2 linked regions of the Callithrix jacchus genome follow. The protein of the gene in region 1 binds, or shares a complex with, the protein of each later gene. Links are inferred from orthologs where the notes say so. Each region holds a gene or a part of one and is shown in the gene's direction. Other genes may lie near its edges.

What was found.
Region 2: STAC3 (region 1) and CACNG1 share a complex: the UniProt entries of both Homo sapiens proteins name them as parts of the calcium channel complex. The link is inferred for Callithrix jacchus from reciprocal best matches to the Homo sapiens genes STAC3 and CACNG1.

Annotation. Positions count from the first base shown.
Region 1 is NC_133510.1:62,451,805-62,457,968, forward strand, and holds the start of STAC3 (SH3 and cysteine-rich domain-containing protein 3), read left to right. Parts: upstream 1-2,797; 5' UTR 2,798-2,990; intron 2,991-4,377; 5' UTR 4,378-4,378; coding exon 4,379-4,444; intron 4,445-4,684; coding exon 4,685-4,952; intron 4,953-5,189; coding exon 5,190-5,287; intron 5,288-5,490; coding exon 5,491-5,563; intron 5,564-6,164. UniProt on the Homo sapiens protein: Required for normal excitation-contraction coupling in skeletal muscle and for normal muscle contraction in response to membrane depolarization. Required for normal Ca(2+) release from the sarcplasmic reticulum, which ultimately leads to muscle contraction.
Region 2 is NC_133506.1:122,262,031-122,268,242, reverse strand, and holds the start of CACNG1 (voltage-dependent calcium channel gamma-1 subunit), read left to right. Parts: upstream 1-2,322; 5' UTR 2,323-2,427; coding exon 2,428-2,656; intron 2,657-6,212. UniProt on the Homo sapiens protein: Regulatory subunit of the voltage-gated calcium channel that gives rise to L-type calcium currents in skeletal muscle. Regulates channel inactivation kinetics.

The DNA of each region.
Region 1 (6,164 bases):
ACCCCTGTGAGATCAGAATGGCATCTGTCTCTTTGATCCATCAGTTATATACCGAGGCATCAAAGGTGGGAGATAGAATTGGAATCGAAAGGGTTTAGGAAGTGTGAGGCTTGGACATCCTACCTTTAAGAGTTTGCAGTTCTCATGAGGAAGGGGACATTACCTAGAAATGTTAAGTTTCTTACGTGGCAGCTATAGCCTTCCGTCCAATGTAAACTGTCCCATTTTAATAGCCCTGGTAATTCCCTTCACCCTGAGGACAAAATTTTAGAGGAAGGAGGTGGGGAGATGTCTCTGGGGGCTGCTGGAGGGAATAAAGCAATACTACATATTCCTTTTTTTTTTTTTTGAGACCAAGTCTTGCTCTGTCGCCCAGGCCGGAGTGCAGTGGAGAGATCTTGGCTCACTGCAACCTTTGCCTCCTGGGTTTAAGCAATTGTCCTGCCTCAGCTTCCCAAGTAGCTGGGATTACAGGTGCCTACCACCATGCCAAGCTAATTATTGTACTTTTAGTAGAGATGGGGTTTCACCATGATGGCCAGGTTGGTCTTGAACTCCTGATCTGCCCACCTCAGCCTTGCAAAGTGCTGGGATTACAGGCATGAGCCACCACACCCAACCATATTCTTCACTTGCTTACAGGATAGCAAAGTACTCCTCAAATCACCGACAGATAAAAAGCAATCTAGTATAGCCAAGTCAATTCTAAGCAAAAAGAACAAAGCTGGAGGCATCACACTACCTGACTTCAAACTATACTACAAGGCCACAGTAATCAAAACAGCATGGTACTGGTAACAAAACAGATATATAGACCAATGGAACAGAACTGAGGCCTCGGAGGTAATGCCACACACTTAAAACCATCTGATTTTTGACAAACCTGACAAAAGCAATGGGGAAAGGATTCCCTGTTTAATAAATGCTGTTGGGAAAACTGGCTAGCAATGTGCAGAAAGCAGAAACTGGACCCCTTCCTGACACCTTACACTAAAATTAACTCCAGATGGATTAAAGACTTAAACATAAGACCTAACACCATAAAAACTCTAGAAGAAAACCTAGACAAAACCATTCAGGACATAGGCATAGGCAAGGACTTCATGACTAAAACATCAAAAGCATTGGCAACAAAAGTCGAAATAGACAAACGGGATCTAATTAAACTCCACAGCTTCTGCACAGCAAAAGAAACAATCATTAGAGTGAACCAGCAATCAACAGAATGGGAAAAAAATCTTTGCAATCTACCCATCTGACAAAGGGCTAATATCCAGAATCTACAAAGAATTAAAACAGATTTACAAGAGAAAAACAAGCCCATTCAAAAGTGGGCAAAGCATATGAATGGACACTTTACAAAAGAAGACATAACATGAGGCCAAGAAACATGAAAAAATGCTCATCATCACTGATCATTAGAGAAATGCAAATCAAAACTACATTGAGATACCATCTCATGCCAGTTAGAATGGCGATCATTAAAAAATCTGGAGACAACAGATGCTGGAGAGGATGTGGAGAAATAGGGACACTTTCACACTGTTGGTGGGAGTGTAAATTAGTTCTACCATTTTGGAAGACAGTGTAGTGATTCCTCAAGGACCTGGAAATAGAAATTCCATTTGACCCAGCAATCCCATTACTGGGTATATATCCAAAGGATTATAAATCATTCTACTATAAGGACACATGCACACGAATGTTCATGGCAGCACTGTTTACAATAGCAAAGACTTGGAACCAACCCAAATGCCCATCGATGGTAGACTGGACAGGGAAAATGTGGCACATATACACCATGGAATACTATGCAGCCATAAACGATGAGTTTGTGTCCTTTGTAGGGACATGGGTGAACCTGGAAACCATCTTTCTCAGCAAACTGACACAAGAACAGAAAATCAAACACTGCACGTTCTCACTCATAGGTGGGTGTTGAACAATGAGAACACATGGACACAGGGAGGGGAGCATCAGACACTGGGGTCTGTCGGGGGGAACTAGGGGAGGGACAGTGGAGAGTTGGGAAGGGATAACATGGGGAGAAACATCAGATATATGTGTTGGGGAGGAAGGCAGCAAAGCATATTGCCATGTATGTACCTATGCAACAATCTTGCATGTTTTTCACATGTACCCCAAAACCTGAAATGCAATAAAATATATTTTTTTTAGAAAAAAGCAATCTAGCTGGGCTTGGTGGCTCACACCTGTAATCCCAGCACTTTGGGATGCTGAGGCGGGTGGATCACCTGAGGTCAGGGGTTCAAGACCAGCCTGGCCAACATGGTAAAACCCTGTCTCTACTAAAAATACAAGAATTAGCCAGGCATGGTGGTGGGCACCTGTAATCTCAGGTACTTGGAAGGCTGAGGCAGGAGAATCACTTGAACCCAGGAGGTGAAGTTTGTAGTGAACCTGCCAGATCACTTCACTGCACTCCCCTGGGCGACAAGAGTGAGACTCCATCTTTAAAAAAAAAAAAAAAAGCAATCTAGTGTGGCTGATAGGAGAGCTCTGAGAGTTCACATTAGTCTTTTTTTTTTTTTAACCCTGTCTCAAAAAATAAATGAAATATAAAAATAAACTCCCCTTAAGTGAGCATGAACAGAAACTGTCCCTTCTTGATTTCAGCTGTTATTAACCTGTTGGCCAAAGATAAAGAATCAAGGAACAGCAGCTCTGGGGGATGGGAGGAGTTAGGGTCCAACCCTGCCCCAGACCTCTCAGTGTCCAATTTCTCTGTGTCAGCTGTGTTGCTCAGCTGTCTACTTTCCTCCAGCCCTGTCATTTCAGCCCTGACACCAACGCAAGAGGCTAGGAGGTCTACAAATAGCGTCTGGGTAGCTGGTGTGAACACAGAGGGTACTGGGGGGGCTTAGCCCCCAAGGAAGAGGACTGGTTTTTCCCCAGCACCACCATCAAGGCCTCGGGGTTCCCAACTTCCTCTACATTCTGTGGACTGACTGATTTAGGGAATCCCAAACGTAAGTTACCTCTTCATCCTCTTTCCATTTCCACAGCTGCTCACCCCAGCTGCCCTGGCCAGTAATCTATTTAACTTCTTCATTTCTCTCCTTGTTGTGAATCATCTGGGTTTTAGGAGTCAAATTATTATTCTACTCTAGGATGAGTTAGGATTGGAGGGTGGGGTAAGGGTGGGGGTGGGGTGAAGGGAATGGAGTAGTAAGGGAAGGAAAGGCTCATATTACCCTGAAAACTTAAAATAGCTGAGCCCTGAAGCAGGCTGGGACAGCACTAGGCACAGTGCCCCCAGGGCTCAAGAAAGAAGTAGGGGAGGACAAATCTCCAGTCCATCCTTCCTTGTGCACACACAAGGACACCCATTAAACCTCTTGAAGAGAGGAGATCTGGGAAGGTATGCATCACATACCTGTTGCCCACAGGTTCCCAGGAGAAACAAAGTACCTATAAGAAAATAACGTAAATCATTCAGCAGTGAACACTGTGTAAGGGCTGTAAACTCTGGGGTCACCCCTCAGGATGGAAGGATAAGTATCAGTTTGAGGAACTAACTGGGGACTTCCGTTTGTTGGGCTTTTTTGTTTTTCTTTTTTTTTTTTTTTTTTTTTGAGACAGAGTCTTGCTCTAGAACCACGCTGGAGTGCAGTGGCGCAATCCTGGCTCACTGCAACCTTCGCCTCCCAGGTTCAAGCAATTCTCCTTCCTCAACCTCTCAAGTAGCTGGGATTACAGGTGTCTGCCACCATACTCGGCTCATTTTTTAATATTTAGTAGAGATGGGGTTTCACCATGTTGGCCAGGCTGGTCTCAAACTCCTGACCCCTAGTGATCCACCCATCTCAGCCTCCCAAAGTGCTGGGATTACAGGTGTGAGCCACCACGCCCAGCCATGTTGGGCTTTTTTCTAGACCTCCATGAAATCTATCTGTTAATAAACACTGCCAAAGGATTTGTATTTGGCCTGGAGCAGTGCCTCATGCCTGGAATCTCAACCCTTTGGGAGGCTGAAATGGAAGAACTGCTTGAGCTAGTTCAGGACCAGCCTAGGCAACAAAGCAAGGCCCTGCTTCTACAAAAAATAAAAAAGTAGCCAGGTAGTATACACTTTGTAGTCCCAGCTACTCAGGAAGCTGAGGTAGGGGGATCGCTTCAGCCTGGGAGATCAAGACTGCAGTGAGCCGTGATCACACCACTGCACTCCAACCTGGGTGACAGAGTGAGACCTCATTGCAAAAAAAAAAAAAAAAAAAATATATATATATATATATATATGAAACCACATTTCTCCAAAAGCCTCCCCTTTGAGGACCACCCTACTGCAAGGGACAGAAATAAGAGAGAGAAGAATGAAAGGGATTAGATTTCATAGTGGGGTCCAACCTCTTGCAGGATGACAGAAAAGGAGGTGCTGGAGTCCCCTAAACCCTCCTTCCCCGCAGAGACTCGGCAAAGTGGGGTGAGTCTGGGCCTCTGACCACTGGGTGTGGGGAGCGGGAAGCCATTATAGCTGAAGAGTGCTTAAATTGATCACATTTGTGTATGACTCATTTTTTGCTGGCCACCTGCAGCCCCCCTAATCCTAGGGTACATTCCTTACCCCTAACTAGAAAACTGTCTAGTTTGCTCTAGTGCCCCTGTACTCTAGAGAGGGTGACAAGTCCTTTTAACACTGGGTTTCCTTCACTCCCTCCCTCAGCTACAGCGGCTGAAGCAATTACTCAGGAAGGGGTCTACAGGGACAAAAGACATGGAACTTCCCCCAGAGCCCCAGGCCAATGGGGAGGCAGTGGGAGCTGGGGGTGGGCCCATCTACTACATCTATGAGGAAGAGGAGGAGGAAGAAGAGGAGGAGGAGGAGCCACCCCCAGAACCTCCTAAGCTTGTCAACGATAAGCCCCACAAATTCAAAGATCACTTCTTCAAGAAGCCAAAGTTCTGTGATGTCTGTGCCCGGATGATTGTTCGTGAGTCATGAAGGGAAGTGAAGAGAGTATGATGTTGAAGGCAGGGGTTGGGGGAGAGGGTATAGGAGAGGAGTATTTGTAGCAGACGGGCTGCGGCTAGAGTTGCTGTAAGGCAGTGCTATTAGAGATTGTGAGAGTAGGGTCCTAGACAGAAAAGGGAACCTAAGTGTAGCAGCAGTGGTACAAAGGGAAAGGGCAACCTGGAACCTTATCTGAATTTTCTCCCCCTCTCCCAAGTCAATAACAAGTTTGGGCTTCGCTGTAAGAACTGCAAAACCAACATCCATGAACACTGTCAGTCCTATGTGGAAATGCAGAGATGCTTTGGCAAGATCGTGAGTAGGCTCCGGGGAACAAGGTGTAGAAAGGTGGGGCCGTATCACCAGCTACCCCTTGCTGGTCCCTCCTCCATCCCATTCATTTCTCTTTTTCTTTCTTAGCCCATCTCTTTTTCTGAGAAAGGATGACCACTTATGAGAGAGATGGGCTTCTAGCCTACCTTGCTACCTCTAATGATTCCTCCTATTCCACCCTACAGCCACCTGGTTTCCGTCGGGCCTATAGTTCCCCACTCTACAGCAATCAGCAGTATGCTTGTGTCAAAGATCTCTGTAAGTGCCCTTTATGGAACATGAGGGAATGGGCAAGCCTACAGATGGTTTCATGCCATCTCTTTTTTTTTTTTTTTTAAGTGAACAGCTCCTTGCTATAAGTGTCATGCCATCTCTAGCTTTGGAAGCCAAATTCTGAAACAGAAACTTTCTATTTCCCATCATTCTCCCTCAACCTAATATTTTTATATTTATTTGGATCCAGAGGCCATATCCCCATTTTACAGCAGAGGGAGATAGGATTTAGTTGCAGCTACATCAGTTAGCAAGCGGTAGAGCCAAGACTGGAATCTCCAGTTGCTAGCTTCAAAATCTGTGCTCTTCATGTGCAAAATCATTTCTAAGCAAGAACAAGGATTCTAGACTGTCCTCATCCTTACTACAGAGTCATACCAGACTCGGGGCAAAGCCCAAAGGCTGTGGACACCCTGGGCAGGTTCATAATTTGGCAACCTTAAAAGCATATTCATTGACAATTTGCTCAACATTTATTTGGAGGAGAGGCTTAACTCTGAGGAGCATGGGTGAAAAAGAAGAACCTGTTGGTGGTAGCTCCTCAGCTTAGACATGCCATTCAGCAGTGCAAAAGTCAGCAGTTAAG
Region 2 (6,212 bases), on another chromosome or scaffold:
GTCTCTGATGGGCCTGCAATGTCTCCATGGCTGGCGCTGGTGCACCCCATGGGCTGAGCCCCCTCAGGCTGCTTTTCAAGAGCCTCAGAGGCTCTTGGCACGGAAGAGCTTAGGGCACCCCCCACCCCGCCACCACCACACCAGGAAATTCAAAAGACACTTTTATTCTCCAAATGACACTGTATTTACTTGTAATGCTAAAATTAAATAGCTTCTTTCTAGATATTTTGTCTTAAAACACTGGAACCTTTTTTTGGCTCCCTGACTACTGCTTTGCTGGGGTGCCTGGCACTCAGTAGTTCTGCTCAAGCTGTCCAGCACCCCCTGAGGTCCTCAGGTACCAGGGTCCTGAAGCTGGGACCCCACAAGCAGTGTGAGAGGGCTGAGAGGCTGTGGCCATGTCCCAGCTCCTGGGAGTTCCCCATGGAGACAGTCCACCCACCTGGAGACAGGCAGCTCCTCCACGAGCTGAGGCAGGGGCGGTGGCAGGTGTCAACAGCCAGTCAGCCATCAGTCAGTTGTGATGGATTAGCGCCCACTGGGAACAGAGAGGTGGGGGGCAGGGAGGAAGCGGGCAGAGATGAGAGCAGTGGGGAGAGAAGTTTTCGGGAGATCGTAATCTGGACGCGAAACTGATTTTTAAAATATGAAAGTTTGGGTGGAACTGCCATAACCACATGCCAGTGGCTGGAGACATGAGGGTTCCGCTCATCCCTGGGGCTGTTCACCCTGGCTTGCCACATCTCCTCTCTGGGCTGCAGATTCCTAATCTGTCACAATAGATCTTGAAGCTTCTTCCCAGTTCAAACCATGGGTTAAGACTTTGGGTTCTGGGTTCTGAAACCTGGCTTCCTCATTTTCCTGCTGTGTGATCTTGGAAAAGTGGCATCATGTCTCTGAGCTTCTGTGTCCTTATCTGTGAAATGCAGTAAGAGTCGTAGCTCCCTTGTGGATTGGTGTGGAGAATAACTGTGATGCTGGAGGAAGGCTTAGCAGAGCGCCTAGTCGACAGGAAGCCCTCGCTGAAGACGAGCCGTTGCTACTATTATCATCATCGTGAACTTTCTGTGATTCCAAGGCTGGAGGCTGGAACGTTTCTGTCCACATGGGGAGAGTCTCTGTAAACCGTGTCAATCTGAGGCCAGGATTTTGAAGCTCAAGGCCCCACCCAGCTTAGGAAGCTATTCCTGGTCATGCATCAGCCTCTCGGCTAGACCCAAAAAGGGCTACCCGGTAAGCTGAGAAAGAAGAGATGGCACAACCTGGCACAACCTGGAGGGATGTAGGGGCCAGAGCCTTGGGGATCCCTGCAGGGCAGCCAGGCACACAGGACCCTGGGAGGGCGCTCAGTTCCAGGCTTTCTGTGTTCTCTGCCATATCTAAGCACTCACGAGCCTCCTAATTATCCCCCGTAAATCAACCTATTTGTTCTTTTTTACTCACACCCTTATTTTGCAAATTAAATAAGTGTGTTCAAATTAAATAAAAATCATTATCACCTGCTGTTAATAGAGGCAAAACCAAACACAGTACCCTGAAAACAGAACGACCAAGTCCAACGAGATTCCTTGTCCTCTTCAGGCCATTCTCTCTTGGTTTCGGAGGACACTCTGTGGGCAGTACAGACACTGACCCCAAATGCAGCTTTGCTCTGGACCCAGTTCCGGGTATGGAAAGAGAATTGAGAAGGAAGTGATGTTCTCATGAAGGGGTCAGAGTCGGGAAAGGCCAGGCCTGGGAAACACCAATAATCTTCCCACGGTTTGGGGGAGGCCATGGATTTTGTGGCTAAAACACTCCCCAAGAGGTGGACTCCAGAGGCCCTGGACGGGTTCCCTGGGATGTCCCTAAACAGTCCTAGTCTCCCCAGATCCCAGGATGAGGACCTACTCACTGCCCTGCTGGTGACAGACTTGCCCTGTGGGAGCCCGGGAGAGCCAGGCAGCCTGCAGCTCTGGTCTCCTCCCCTGCCCTGGGATGCCCTTTCCCAGCAGCCCAGAGCAGGCAGGTCCCCACCCCCAGCCCCTGCTGCCCACCCCCTCCCAACTCAGACACCTTGAGCTGCTACTCCACAGAGGCCTCAATCCACCACCCAGAGCCTTCTCTCCTTGCCCCCCTACCAGGGTACTTCTGGCTCCCAAAGGAAGAAACCCCTGAAACCTGAGCAGAAGCTGTCCTCGGTGCCACGCCTGGAGACGGTCATTAATAGCAGCCTCCCTCAGGCCCCTGATTCGTCTGGACAGCTGCTCAGCATGTCCAGCGTCCCTCAGCCCCAAGCCCAGCCCACTCTGGCTCAGCCAGGCCACACTAAACTTAGTGGCCACTCCCAGCTTGACAGCCACTGCCACCCCCCAGCTCGGCTGTCACCTGCCCTAGGAGACACAGCCGCCGGACCCTGCCCAGGGCACCCACGCCTCGGCGACCACCATGTCCCAGACCAAAACGCTGAAGGTCCGTGTGACCCTCTTCTGCATCCTGGCGGGCATCGTGCTGGCCACAACAGCCGTGGTAACCGACCACTGGGCTGTGCTGAGCCCCCACCTGGAGCACCACAACACCACCTGCGAGGCGGCCCACTTCGGCCTCTGGCGGATCTGTACCAAGCGCATCCCCATGGACGACAGCAAGATGTGCGGGCCCATCACCCTGCCCGGGGGTAATGTACCCAGCATCCCTCCCAATCCCCACTTCCTGCCCTTTCCCATCTTTCCCCAACAAAGTTACCCACACGAAGCAAGGCAGGTTTCTCTGCCTAGAACAGGGCAGCCGCCCAGCCCTTTCTGCCCAGGGAAGAAGATCCGACTCGCATGTGCTGTGCTGGTGGCCGGAGCTGGGTTGTAAGACGAGGGCGTTTGTCCCAGCTATTTCTGTCTGGCTGGACCTTGGGGCTTTTTGTCCAGAGCAGACATCTGAGCAGGCTCAAGAAAGGGACTGTGGCTCTACCAGCCCGGGGGCTTCTGGGCCCCACCTGATCACTCCCTCCCTGCCAAGACAGGCTGAGTGGCTCTGTGTGCTCAGACTCGTGGAACCTATCAGGCTGGCAGGTTCGTTCCTGGACTTAAGGCAGGAGAGTAGACTGGACAGGTGAATTTGCAGGGTCCTGTGCTGAATGAAAGTGCAGGGTTCCCTGCTCCAAATTACCGAGGATTTCAAGGCAGTGACAGCGAGGCATGAAACCAAGCATGGACCCTTGAGGGCCCTGGGCCTAGGGCAGCTGCACAGGTTGAATGTCTATGAAGCAGGACATGGCTGTGGGTGAGCCGCCTGCCCCCTACCTTTTCTTGAGACAGAGTTGCACTCTGTTCCCTGTGCTGGAGTACGATGGTGCAATCTCGGCTCACTGCAACTTCTGCCTCCTGGGATCAAGCTAGTCTCCTGCCTCAGCTTCCCCAGTAGCTGGGATTGCAGGCATGCGCCACCATACCCATCTAACTTTTGTATTTTTAGTAGAGACGGGGTTTTGCCATGTTGGCCAGGCTGGTCTTGAACTCCTGACTGCAAGCAATCCGCCCACCTCGGCCTCCCACAGTGCTGGGATTAGGCATGAGCCGCCGTGCCCAGCCTCCACCCCCACTTTTGTCAGGACTTCAGTCCTCTGTGCCTCCTCTCTTAGCTCAGACCCTATCAGCATTTTAAAAGACCATGTCAAAGCATTTTCCTCATCCTGTCATTTAAGCATATTCCTCAATTTCCTACCATGTGACCAAACCACATGTCGAAGGTAAGCTCTTTTTCAGGAGTACCTGGTATTTGTGTGGCTAACCTCTATTCTGCAAATGCAGAGGCCTCTGGATTCTTAGCAAATACAGCACTTCTTTAGAGGAAAGAGGGCTACATGGAGACCAGGCGGCCAGGAATCATCACCATTGCCTACCACGCTCCAAATGACTCTCCAGGGAGGACAAAGCTCAACTCAGCCTCAGCTTCTTCCTCTATAAAATATGGGACTGACTCTCAACAACATAAGATCCCTTCCCAGGCTGAGGGACACCCATCCATGGTGGCAGTGGAGCAGGGTGATGTCAGTGTGATGTCCCACCTGGCTTTCAGGATTATTCCGTCTTTTATCAGACTGGATGTTCCTTGAAACCTGTCCTTCAAGGACACTAAGGCTGAGTCCCCAAAGATCTTGCAGTCTGTTTGTGGGTCAGAGAGCCCAGACCCCATCCTCCCATGTCTCTGCTCCCTCTTCCTTCCCTCCTGCTTGCTCCAGAGATCCCCTCCCTTGCTTACCCCAACTGGGTGCCCAGAAGACTCGTAAGTACCCAGCTGTTGTAGAAACACCAAGTCCCAGTGCTTGAGGGTGACAGGTGTGAGCATGTGCTGGCAGGGTATTGCATAGCTGGGATGCCCATGTCCCTTGACCACTGCGAAGCACACCCATAAACAGGCACAGCCTCCAGCCTACTCCCCTGGGTGGGGCAGGGCAGGGCAGGGCGAGGTAGCTTCTACAGGGACCACACATGGGGACGTGCTGTTACAGTCCTGTTCACCCATCTCTGGAACCATCTGACTTTTAAAGTCAGAGAAGAGGGCTGGGCAGTGAACAGAGTCCACACAAGGAAGAGACAGGCTGGTGAGAGGTGACTGGACCAATCACAGGGGGTGACAGGCTGGGGAGACGTTAGTGGACCAATCACAGGGGGCAACAGGCTGGCAAGAGGCGATTGGACCAATCACAAGGGACCAACAGGCTAGTTAGAGGTGAGTGGACCAATCATAGGGGGCCAACAGGCTGGTGAGAGATGACTGGACCAATCACAGGGGGGCAGCATGCTGGTGAGAGGTGACTGGACCAATCGCAGTCACTGGAACCAATGCTAGTCACTGGAACCAATGCTAGTCACTGGAGCCAACAGGCATTGCTTGAGCTTGAGCCTGACCAGGATCTACCTCTTTGACTTCTTAGCCTAACCAGCCATGAACCATACCTCCCACGCTTGTGACACGGAGCACTACCTTTCCCCCAGTAATCTTCCAAAGTATGTTCCTGCCTTTTTCCCTCTCTTTTCTGTGCAAATGGACATCTTTCTCTTTCCCTATCTGCCCTTCTTGTGTTCCCTGGGACCACTCTTCTCTAGAGGGAGGAAGTGAGTTCATATGTGGCTTCTCAATTAACAACAGTAATAATGGCACGTACATGTAACCCTATGTGCCAGATATTGTTGTAAATGCTTTACATGTATTAACCTCTAATGACATTGGGAAAAAAAATTATGGAGAAAGAACCTCCAAAAATCTTCTTCTACATAAAAGCAATGAGAGTGCTGGCAGAAATTGTCAGAATTAGCCTTTTGAGAACTGTGAAAATTAATCAAAGTCTTGCAGCAATCCAGCAAGAAAAATGGGTGAATCTCAGGACCAGTGAGTTCTGTGGTGTTTTAACTTGCCCTATTCTTTTTCCCTTTTCCAGCTCTGTAGTGACCTTGCAAACCAACATTCGACAATCAGTGAAAACCATCATCCCACTAGCCTCTGGAGGGGAGAGAATGGGGTTGGATCAAAGGCCCATTCCCAGAGAATTGTCATTATTTGACCTGTCTGGTGATTCCCTGAAAATCCTCGCTTAAGAAGCTGTTTCTTTTTGATCTGACTCTGAGCTCATGAGGGCAAATAGTCAATTATTAGAGATGATTGCTTAACATCATGGTTGCCTGAGGCAGGAGATAATTGTTGGGCAAAACAACGGGCCAATCAAAAAACTGGAGACTGAGATGTCCATAGGTTGCTTTGAAAAGCTTCAACATATTCCTGGGAATCTAGGAGGCCATGTGCATAAACAGTGCTATGTGCATGCTTGGGAAAGACTTGAGAAGGCCCTAAGCACTCACCTCTGCCTTATCTTGAGGCTCTGTTCAAACAGAAAGTGAAGGCTAAGGCAGAGATGTGGGTGGCTTAGCTGAGTGTGAGAGTCATATGAACAGAGCCCCTCAGTAAAGACTGGGAGAGGTATTGTTTATAAGCATTTTAGGAAATTTCTAACCTGTCACTAAGGTAATTGAACAGGGATTTAAGTGGTCACAGAAGACAACACAGACTTCAAAAAAGTCACTAAACAAACAACAGGAACAAATCCTCAAGAAGGGGGAACAACCGATTTCCAGAGTTGTCACATTATATTGTTTAAAAACTACTGGCTGGGTATGCTGGCTCACTCCTGTAATCCCAGCACTTTCGGAGGCCGAGGTAAGAGGATTGCTTGAGGCCAGGGG